Cricetulus griseus: one gene and its partners. The protein of the gene in region 1 interacts with the protein of each later gene in a pairwise test. Links are inferred from orthologs where the notes say so. Each region holds a gene or a part of one and is shown in the gene's direction. Other genes may lie near its edges.

Region 1 (3,653 bases):
GTTAAGCACACAAAGCAAGCCAGATGCTGCATGCAGCAATGTTATACAAAGAGCCTTTATAAATTTTAGAAGAGAATTTCCAGCTTGTGCAGCTGTGGGTCCTGGCAGACCAAGACAGGTTTATTTGTATCTACCTCGCTTATTTAAATAATAACAAGACCACAGAGGAGGAGAGGCAGATTCCCATAAGCAAGGCTGTAGAAAACCCTACCGCTACTGAGATTCAGGATGTATGCTCAGCAGCTGGACTGAATGCTTTTCTGGAGACAAACAAAATGTACTCCAGAGAATGGAACCTTGATGTTCAGTACAGAAACAGAGTCTGGGTACAGCTCAGACAGGAAGATGGCAGCTTCTGTCCTGTACAGTTCCTGTTATGTAAGTCAGTGGTGTTGTATGTAGCAGAAATGGTACCCAAGCTAAAAACAAGGACACAAAAAAGGAGAGGAGAGTAAAAAAGGGAAAGGCAAGAAGAAGAAATGATGTGGTGTGAACATGAAGCACACAGTCCTACTGTGAGAGACATGGGGCATCTTTGTGTCCGAGGAAACAGCTTTTTGTTTGTGTATTTAACTGAACCGTGAACAAGTGTGTCTCCCATTTTCATCAACAGAGTTAACAATGAGATAAGTTTACATCAAAAGTTTGCATCTAGCTTTTATACTGTAAAAAGGAAATATGTGTGAAAGAAAGAAGAATATTTTTAACAGATAATGACTGTTCCATTAGTTACTTGAAATCCTGTATCTGTTTGTCCTCTATGTAAACATATATTTCAGGTAAATAAATTTAATAAGACTTGAAATACACATTTTTCCACCTTTTAAGTTAAATAAAAATTTAAACTGACAAAAATAATACATTTTAGAAGAGAAAAGCATAAAAATAAATAGACAAGTCGGGCAGTGTTGGAGCATCTTTAATCCCAGAACTGGGGAGGCAGAGACAGGCAGATCTCTGTGAGTTTGAGGCCAGCCTGGTCTACAAAGTGAATTCCAGGACAGCTAGGACTGCACAGAAAAACCCTGTCTTGAACCCCCACCTAAAAAGATAAGCAATGTACAAGGAAAGAAATACAAAGGGCAAACATTTTGTGAACATTACTAATAATTTTAAAAATGCAAAGTAAGAAAAGACTGTTTACCATTCCCAAAACCAACAAAGATTAAAAGTAACACTAAAGTCCAATATTATGGGAAAACAATTAATCCTTAAATTACTGTTTAGATTATGAATTTTTAAATATTTTGGAAGGTAATCTACCAATAACTATAAATTTTTTTAATGTATGTATTCCTTGTTTGAACAAGTTAACTTCTTTGAATTTATTATAAAGAAGTAATTGAATACACCAATAAGGCACATTTTTCACTGCAGTACTTAATAAAGAAATTATAATAACATAGCCTTATATCAGCATGGGACATTTTAGGTTCTGTTTTTTGAGGTATGGTCTCCTTTACTCTACAGTTCACGCTGGCCTGGAACTTACTATGTATAGTAAGTATCTCAAGTTGGCCTGGGATGTGTGGTGATCCTCTAGGCTCTTCCTGGGTTCCAGTGAAATAAGTGATGTTGTATTAATGGGATGGATGTGAACTTGGTTTATTGTTGTATGTTCATGTGTGTATGGGGTGTGTATGTGTTACAGCACACCATGGAGATCAGACAACTTTTGGGAATCAGTTGTCTCTTTCCATCCTGTTGAGGCAGTGTCTCTCTTGTTCTTTTTTGGCACTGTATTCTCGAGGCTAGCTGGACTGTGGGCTTCTGGGTAGTCTTTTGTCTCTGTCTTCTGTAGGAGTGCTGGGATTACAAATGTAATGTTGCCCCCCACCCCGCCGCCCCCCAGGACAGGTTCTCATTATGTAGGCTTGGCTGTCCTGGAACTTACTCTGTAGACCAGGCTGGCCACAAACTCACAGAGATGCACATAACTTCTGCCTTGCGAGTGCTGGAATCACAGGTATGGTCCACTACACCTGGCATATAAGGCTTTGTTTACTTGAATTCTGAGTGTTGAACTCAGGTCGTGAAGCTTGTATGGCTGATGCTGTTACTCACTGAGCTCTCTCCCCAGCACAAGTGACATATTTTCAATAAGATTAAGAGTAGTTTATGAAATTGCATATATGCTATGATTTGAATTTTGTTTATAAAATATAAAGAAGCATAAAAGAAAAGATAAATGAAATAATTTATGCCAAAATTAATTTTCTCTTGTATTTTCCAGGCCTTTTCAGTTAATTTATTTGAAATATATTTGTTTGTGTAAGTATATAAAAAGAAAAAAATACGTACCTGTATAGAAATGTTTTTGAAATGTCGTTAGCATGTATTATTTGCTAACTGGAAATAGCAATGTTAAACTCCTGATTTTTCTTTATTTTCTACTTGAGGAAAATGTCTAACTTCATATCTTTGAACCTGGGGTCTATCAGTGCACTTTAGAAGAGAAACAGATTCAGTAGCCAGTGATAACCTTGAAACGGAGTAGAAGTTCCCAAACACGTTATGTTGCTAATACACTCAGACAGTTGTTATCTTTTTCCATGGCCCACAGACTCCAAAATAAAAATTGGAATGATGTTGTCAACACAGTTTCTTACAGTGCTGGGACTGGGAGTCGAACTCAGGGCCTTGCACTTTCGAGTCGAGCACTTAACCTACTCACCTACACCCTCAGCCCCTTATCATTTTAGACTGGTCATTCTGTGAGCTGGAACCTTGGGCGGAGAAACCACTAGATTGTCATCTGCTCTCCTCTTTAGGATCCAGGAGAGAAAGGTGTGGGTACCGTATAGTACGAAGACAGAGAAGTTCCAGTGAGCAGATGCACTGCCTGAGCAAAGCCAAGAGAAACAGTGGGCATGTCCCCCGTGTGAAGGAGCTACTGCTGAGCACCCTGAGCCCAGAGCAGCTGGTGCTCACCCTCCTGGAGGCAGAGCCGCCCAATGTGCTAGTGAGCCGTCCCAGCATGCCCTTCACCGAGGCCTCCATGATGATGTCTCTCACTAAGCTGGCCGACAAGGAACTGGTACACATGATTGGCTGGGCCAAGAAAATCCCTGGTAGGACTCTCTACATCTTGACTTCATTCTGTCTATTTGTAACAAGGCCTGTCTCTCACATTCTGGGGGCTGTGAACTTCATCTGAATATGTAATTGTTATTCTTTTGTTTAAAAAGAAGAAAAGAGAAATATTGAGACAGACATATTGACTATAAGTTTATTATAAGGGCCGGTAGAATGGGGAGACTAAAAAGAGGAACAGGGGTAAATGGCTGACCGCCATGGCCGGTCGCCATAGAGAGAGAGCGGGGAAACAGAGAGAGGGGACAGAGAGCAGGAACAGGGGGAGAGAGAGACAGACAGACAGAGAGAGACAGAGAGAGTAAAGGGGCAGAGAGAGCGTAAATGTGCAGGGGCCTATCTTTTAAAGGGGTCCTCTGCACCTGCATGCAGACTTCTTTCCCATGGAACCTTGGGCTGACCAGGGTATTGCCTGAGTGGATTCCACCAGGTAACAGGGGCAGGCCAGCATAATGCCTGAACCTTTCATTCCCACCTCTACTTATTATTAAAAAAAGGTGGGGTGTTTAGACATGGCAGGTTAAGGAATAAGGGCGTCGAATTCTTAAGACTGCTTCCTG
Region 2 (4,372 bases), on another chromosome or scaffold:
GTGTATGCCTGTACACATGTGTGTAGGCATATACATGCTAAGGGGCCAGAAGACAACTTGTGGGAGTCATTTCTTTCCTCCTGTCGTGTGAGCTTCTGAGGGAACTCAGCTTGTCAGCCTTGATAAACAAGTGCATTTATCTATTAACCAATCTTGCCTGCCTGGGTTTTTTTAATTAAAAAAAATGATTTTAGGGACTGGAGAGGTGACTCAGTAGTTAAGAGCACTGGCCACTCTTCCAGAGGACCCAGGGATTCCCAGAACCCAGATGACAGCTCACAACTCTCTGTAACTCCAATTCCAAGGGACCCAACACCTCTTCTGACCTCCACAGGCCTCAGGCACAAGTGTGTGGTGCACATATATACACGTGTGGAGAACATATGTACATATGTGCTACATACACACACACACACACACACACAGGCAAAAACACTCACATAAAAATAAATAGATCTTTAAAATAATTATTAATAGGTTTCATCATGAGATTTTCATACATGCGTATCACGCTTATAGTTACTTCGCATTACCTCTCCCATCCCTTCTGCCCTCAAATAGTTCTCACTCTGCAGCTTTTATCACACACACACACACACACACACACACACACACACACACCCCTAGATTCTGTCGAATCATTTTTAGTAAGAGAGTGGCACGCTCAGAATTCTGACGGAGGAATATTACTAGCAAGAAAAATAGTGGCGCACGCTGGCGGTGCTGGTAAGGGTGGTACCCATACCAGTCTATGTGCACAGTGTGCACTCAATAAATACCCGTGGAAAGAAAGCGTTTCAGAGTCCTCTCTTAGATGAGACACTATAACTGAGCCGTTAAGAATCCACCTGCCCCAACCGTCCTTACAGAGGAAGAAGCTGAGACACAGAGGTAAAGAAAATCATGAAGCTAAGGGGTGGGAACTGATTTAAGTGACTCTGGGCTCAGCCCAGTGCTAAGAACACTTCCCTGCTTTGGGAAGAGAGGAAGCCAGAGGCCCGCCTCCACCTGTTCACTCACCAGTTCTATTTTGTGAGCACCTACCGTGTTTGTTAGGGTGGTGGGACGAAGTGGGGGGGGGGGAGATAGAATAAAGGTTATCTTTATCGTCAGTCATTAGACGCTTTCCAAGCCTTTCCCTCATTTCCTCTGCGCAAGGAAATACTATCATCCCCATAGCTGGGGAGAGCACACTGAGGCGTGGAGCGTTACGCAGCACACACAGCCAGCCGCTGGGACAGCGCTGAACATGCACGCAGACCAAGATCGCACCCAGCACCTCGGCTCACATGCTCGCTAGCAATCGAGCTCGCGCGCTCCACCTTGCGCGCCAGGGGACGCCCGGTCACGTGGGCAGGGCCCCGCCCCTCGGGCCCGCCCCGCCCCGCCGCGCTCCCTCCCTCTCTCCTTCCTCCCTCCCTCCCCGGCCCGGTCCGGCCCATCCCCCCTCCCCACCGGCTCCCTGAGGCCTGCCGGGTCGGGCTGCGGCGGCCGGGCGCCGACGGCCGGACGGACGGGCGCACGCGAGGACCGGCGGACGGACGCGCCGAGGGCGCCGGGCACGCACGGCCCGGGCCGGCGCTGCGAGGCCCGCCCGGGGCCGGGGCCGCGCTCAGGTGAGGCGACGGCGACGCTGGCCCGTAAGGGGTGGGCCTGCTGAGCGTCCCGGGCCCGGCCCGGCAGGCTTCGTGGGGAGGAGGCCCGCCCGGGCCTGGCGCGCGAAGATGGCGCCGGGCGGCCGTGCAGCTCGGCCCGAGTGCGGCCCGGGCCCGCAGCCGCCCCACCCGCCGCCGCGCTCGTGTCCCCGTCGCCATGTTGGGGAGCGGGCCCGGGGCCTGCGGCGGGCGCGGCGGGAGCGGCGGCGGCGGTGGGGAGTGCGGGTCGGGGCCCGCGGAGTGCAGGCGGCCGGGGTTGCGCGGGCGGCGCTGCGGCCCAGGAGCCGGCTATACCGCGGGCGTGAGGTCCGGGCTGGGGGCGCGGAGAAAAAGACCCCGGGAGCGGACGGGACCGGGGTTGGGGGCGGGGCCGAGGGGGCGGCGGGCCGAGGGGGTGCCGGGCGGTGGAGTTGGGTTAGGCCGTGCGCTGTGAACCGAGCCCCAGAGCAGCAGCCAGGGGTAGGGGAGGCAGCTTGGGGGCCGAGTCCTGGCTGTCAGGGCTGGAGTTGTTCTTTGCGTGCGCTGGAGGAGATTGCTTAGGAATGGGGGTTGCGAACTCGGGGATCAGAGTGGGTCACCGACGCGGGAATCAGCCTGGAAGGGTCCTGGCACTGAATGGCCAGTCTTTATGACTCCCAAGGGTCTCGGGACCTGTGAGCCCTGAGGAGCCTCCAGTCCCGTTGGAGGCAGCAACAGGAAAAGGGAAGAGCTTGATGAGGAAAGAAAGGGTGCCAGGCAGGGGCTGGATGTAGGAGCTGGACAGCAAAAGGTACAGAGTGGAACTGGTAGGAAAGGAGAGAACCTCCATCAACTTAAGGAGTTGTCTTTAAAAGGAGGGACCCGGCTGTTTGGGGGCGGTGACCCAAAGTGTGTTTCCTGGAAGGGGACAGCCGCTGCTTAAAGAGCAGGGTCACCTGGGGAGGTCGTCTGAAAGGTCTTGTTGAAACTAGTCAGAATCGTGAAGAAGGAAAGGACATGTAATAACTACGGTGGCTTTACAGAGATCATGCCATGGTTTCAAATCAAGTAGTGATTTTAGCCAAGGTAATTGATTTCCTAAGATAGTTTGTGTCGGTGACAGAGGCTCCTGGATATGGACTAAGGCTTCCTCATTCAGTTGCTAAGTCAAACTCCATTAAATTATCAGAGTCATTAATTTTTGTTTTAACAAGTTTGTCAGTACAAAGCCTGAGTGGGATACAAAAATGTATAATCAATTATTGGATATTTCCTAGATCTCCATTGATACAAAAAAAAAAGCATCAAGAAAGAACCTCTTTCTAGAGTTTAAAAAAATGTTCCCCCTCGTCTGGATGTTTATTGCACAGCAAAAGAACACAAAAAGCTTAAAAGGGGAAAAAAGGATAATGATAGAGACCTAGGGTCCCCATCATATTCACTTTAATTGAATTTCTGTTATAAATAGGCAATTGAGAGTTCAAATGGACTATGAGATAAATCAGCCAGTGATATATAGTTGACTTTTAATGTCCCTGAGTTTTGCATCTACAGCTTCAACCAATCACCGATTAGAAACATTCATAAAACAAAAAATTGAAACTGTGCTAAACATACAGGGTTTTTTCCTTGTCACTGTTATTTTTTCTTGTTATTATTATTCCCTAAACTAGACAGCTTAACAACTGTTTACATGACATTTACATTTTATTGGCTATTACAGGTAGACAGGATACACAAATATTGTATCACTTTATATAATGATTTTGATATCCTAGGAGGTCCTAGAATCCATTGCCCATGGATATACCAAGGAATGACAGACAATACAAAACTCCACATAATTAAAAAACAAAACAAACTTAGAAGCCAGGCACGGTGGTTCACATCTATATCTCAACACATAGGAGACTGAGGCAGGAGAGTCTGGGCTATAGAGTAAAGGCCCTGCCTCCAGAGGAAAAAAAATAGACTTTCAGGTGTTGGCATTGTAGTTAAATGGTAGAGTGTTTGCCTAGCATACAACATAAGGGCCTTGGTTTTATTCCCAGCACAAAAGGGATGGAGTTTAATCAAAAGAATTTTATAAGGATTTTCAAAACCACATGTATATTCAGTACCAATTTTTCTGAGTCTTTCTAATGCAGAGATCTGATCTTATGTGTGCCATGGTCCCTGTAGCATGGATCTCTCAAAATAATATTTTTAATTGTATAAAGTAAATGACATTGATTACAAAGGAAACTAGTTACATTCAAATAGTTACTAAGTATAAAAATTGTTTATGCTGAAGTATCTGTACACCTATTTGTGAATGTGGTGGTAGGGATTGAACTCAGGGTCTTGCTCAATCTAGGTAAGCCTGCAATACTGAACTATTCCCCCCTTGCAGAGTGTGTGTGTGTGTGTGTGTGTGTGTGTGTGTGTGTGTGTGGAGGAGGTGGAGGAGTAGTACTTATCGAGTTTGTGCATATGCATGGGGAGACCAGAGGTTGACTTTGGTGTCTTCCTTGATTGTTTCTCTACCTTATTATTTTTTTACCTTGACATTTTATTTTCTGTAGTTATTTGTGTGTGGGGCCATGTGTGTGGAATCTGAGGACAACTTGTGGGGATCACTTCTCTTTTTCCACTTATGTGGGTATGCCAGAACTCAGGTCATCAGGATTGACAGATAGAGTGCCTTTACCTGCTGAGCCATTTTACAGTCTCAACCATTTTATTTTTTGAGACAGGGTCTCTCACTAACCCTGGAGCTT
Region 3 (2,790 bases), on another chromosome or scaffold:
AGTCCATTTTGTAAGTGGGAATACGGAGTCTCAGTAAGGTCCCTGGCCTTGCTTGAGCCCATTCCATGAGTTGGGGGGGGGAAGAGTTAAGATAAGACCCATGCAGGCTAGCCTGGCCCCAGTTCGACAGAATGGTGGCCTGTATTGAGGTTGCTGTCCCTCCCGCACAGGGACCTGGAATGGCACCACGAGGGTTGCCATCAAAACCCTGAAGCCGGGCACCATGTCTCCAGAGGCCTTCCTGCAGGAGGCCCAAGTCATGAAGAAACTGAGGCATGAGAAACTGGTGCAGCTGTATGCGGTGGTGTCGGAGGAACCCATTTACATCGTGACAGAGTACATGAGCAAGGGTAAGGCCTGTGCCTGGAGTGAGTTCCAATTAGGGGCCTGGGCAGGGCAGGCCACACTTCTTACCCTGAGCCAACCCCGATGAGTGGATGGTTACCTGAGGGACTGCCTCACTCCGTTCATAAATAATAACAAGAAATAATACTTTTTTAGAGGGTTATCCTTTTGTCCTTTAGCACTGTTACGATCTCTGTTGTCGCTGGGTGGTTTGGTGGCTCACACCACAATCCCAGTGCCCGGGCCTTGAAGCAGGAGGACCCTGAATCTGAGGCGAGGCTGGCTACATAGCAAGACTGTCTCAGCAAACAGCAGTGTGGGGTTGGGGATGTAGCTCAGTTGGCAGAGTGTCTAGCATGCCCAAGGCCCTGGATTTGGCCTTAGGTTTGATCCTCAGCACTTTGCCAATTAGGCATGATGACCTGTAACCCCAGCCCTGAGAGGGGAGGAGGAGGAAGATCGAGAGTTCAAGGTTAGCCTCCATTGCATAGTGAGTTGGTCTACTTGAGACACCGTCTCAGAACAAAACAAAAAAATGCATCCATAGCACCCACATTACTCCAAAGTTGCCTGCTGCCTTTAGAGATGGGACTCCCCAGCCCCAGGCAGCCACTGGCTGGCAGGCTTGGTCCAAATAAACATAATGTGTCTTGGGCTTTACACGTGGTCTTTTGCATGTAACATCCCCCCCACCCCACCCCACACACACACATCCCCCACTACAGGGCCCAGTAGGATTTCTTGGTCTAGCTCCCTGGAGTGTTTACCTTTGAGTGCCAAACACAGAATTGAAGCTTTTCTCCTTACTTGTTGAGCAGGTAGCCAGGGTCTGGAGCCACAGCTTCCTGCACAGGGAAACCCTGGCAGGGTTAGAGCTGGCTCTCTCTCTCTCTCCAGGTAGTCTGCTGGACTTTCTCAAGGGGGAAACCGGCAAATACCTGCGGCTACCGCAGCTGGTGGACATGGCTGCTCAGGTGAGTCTCTCAGCTTTTCTACAACACCTTGAGCTCTTGGGCTCAGCGCGCCCCCTCTAGGAGGCCTACTTTCATTACACCCAAATCTCACCTTGCCACTCAGTGGAGCCCTTGCTGGTGCCAGGGGTGGCAGTCCTGGACGATATACCATATCTGAGCATCAGAGATGGACATATACATAATTAAAATAAAATACTAAAAGTTTAACATTTATTATTTCCATTTGGTAGATGAGGAAACTAAGACTCAGAGGGAACGTGGGACAATAGACAGGACCAGCCATGTCCCTGTGTCCTTGAGTCATCTGGGACCTCTTTTTATACTCACCTGCTTCCTGGGCAGCATCTTGTTGTGACCTTCCCATTGCCCTTTGCCTGTCCCCCTCCCCCACTGAGCTCTGGTCTACCTTTTCTTTTTCTTTTTAAAAATTGTATTTATTTATGTATTTTTTTAGGTATGAATGCTCTGTCCACACATATGCCTACAGGACAGAAGAGGGCATCATATTCCATTATAGATGGTTGTGAGTCACCATGTGGTTGCTGGGACTTGAACTCAGGGACCTCTGGAAGAGCAGCCAGTGCCTTAACTACTGAGCCATCTCTTCAGCCGTGGTCTACTTTTTCAAACCAGTGATGTTTGTTATAAGCTGAATGAATTCCTTGCTTGAAAAGACATGGGATGGGAAAGGTGTTTTTGGCTGTCTCTCCATCCCAGGCAATGACCACCCCAGGACACCTGCTTACAACCCTGGGATGGGTGTGGGTTTGGCCGCTGAGCCAGGCTCTCTGTCTCTACAGATCGCCTCTGGTATGGCCTATGTGGAACGGATGAACTATGTGCACAGGGACCTCCGAGCTGCCAATATCCTGGTTGGGGAGAATCTGGTGTGTAAGGTGGCTGACTTTGGTCTGGCCCGGCTCATAGAAGACAACGAATACACAGCCCGGCAAGGTGGGAGCTCTGGGGATGGATCCGATGGTGTCAGTCCGCCAAGTGGAAACGAGGGTAATGCTCCTACGGCAGACTGGTAGTGACACCCTGTGCTTTCTTGCCTTTAGGTGCCAAATTCCCCATCAAGTGGACTGCTCCCGAAGCTGCTCTGTACGGCAGGTTCACTATCAAGTCAGATGTGTGGTCCTTTGGGATCCTGCTGACCGAGCTCACCACGAAGGGACGGGTGCCCTATCCTGGTGAGGAGGCTACACCTGTGACCCTGACCTTGGTCCTAGGGGCAAGTCTCACCCCCAGTCCCCCACACACACATACATACCACCTCTGGGCTTCCTCTTTCCTAGGCTGGATACTAAAGAGGCTGGTTTCTGGTCTCGGGCTGCCTCTGGTCAGTGCTGTTAGCCTCAGAGACAGGGTTTTATCCACCATAGACTGAAAGCTGTCTAGGCTGCATCAGTCTCTTGAGCCATCTCCTCACAGCCCTCTGTTCATAGGGATGGTGAACCGTGAGGTGCTG

The links.
Region 2: the proteins of Esr2 (region 1) and Ncoa6 interact in a two-hybrid assay, tested with the Homo sapiens proteins (3 studies listed by BioGRID). The link is inferred for Cricetulus griseus from reciprocal best matches to the Homo sapiens genes ESR2 and NCOA6.
Region 3: the proteins of Esr2 (region 1) and Src interact in a two-hybrid assay, tested with the Homo sapiens proteins (2 studies listed by BioGRID). The link is inferred for Cricetulus griseus from reciprocal best matches to the Homo sapiens genes ESR2 and SRC.

The regions. Positions count from the first base shown.
Region 1 is NC_048598.1:127,334,569-127,338,221, forward strand, and holds part of Esr2 (estrogen receptor beta), read left to right. Parts: intron 1-2,771; coding exon 2,772-3,071; intron 3,072-3,653.
Region 2 is NC_048599.1:24,164,051-24,168,422, forward strand, and holds the start of Ncoa6 (nuclear receptor coactivator 6), read left to right. Parts: upstream 1-1,430; 5' UTR 1,431-1,616; intron 1,617-4,372. UniProt on the Homo sapiens protein: Nuclear receptor coactivator that directly binds nuclear receptors and stimulates the transcriptional activities in a hormone-dependent fashion. Coactivates expression in an agonist- and AF2-dependent manner.
Region 3 is NC_048599.1:22,072,725-22,075,514, reverse strand, and holds part of Src (proto-oncogene tyrosine-protein kinase Src), read left to right. Parts: intron 1-170; coding exon 171-350; intron 351-1,242; coding exon 1,243-1,319; intron 1,320-2,119; coding exon 2,120-2,273; intron 2,274-2,380; coding exon 2,381-2,512; intron 2,513-2,767; coding exon 2,768-2,790. UniProt on the Homo sapiens protein: Non-receptor protein tyrosine kinase which is activated following engagement of many different classes of cellular receptors including immune response receptors, integrins and other adhesion receptors, receptor protein tyrosine kinases, G protein-coupled receptors as well as cytokine receptors.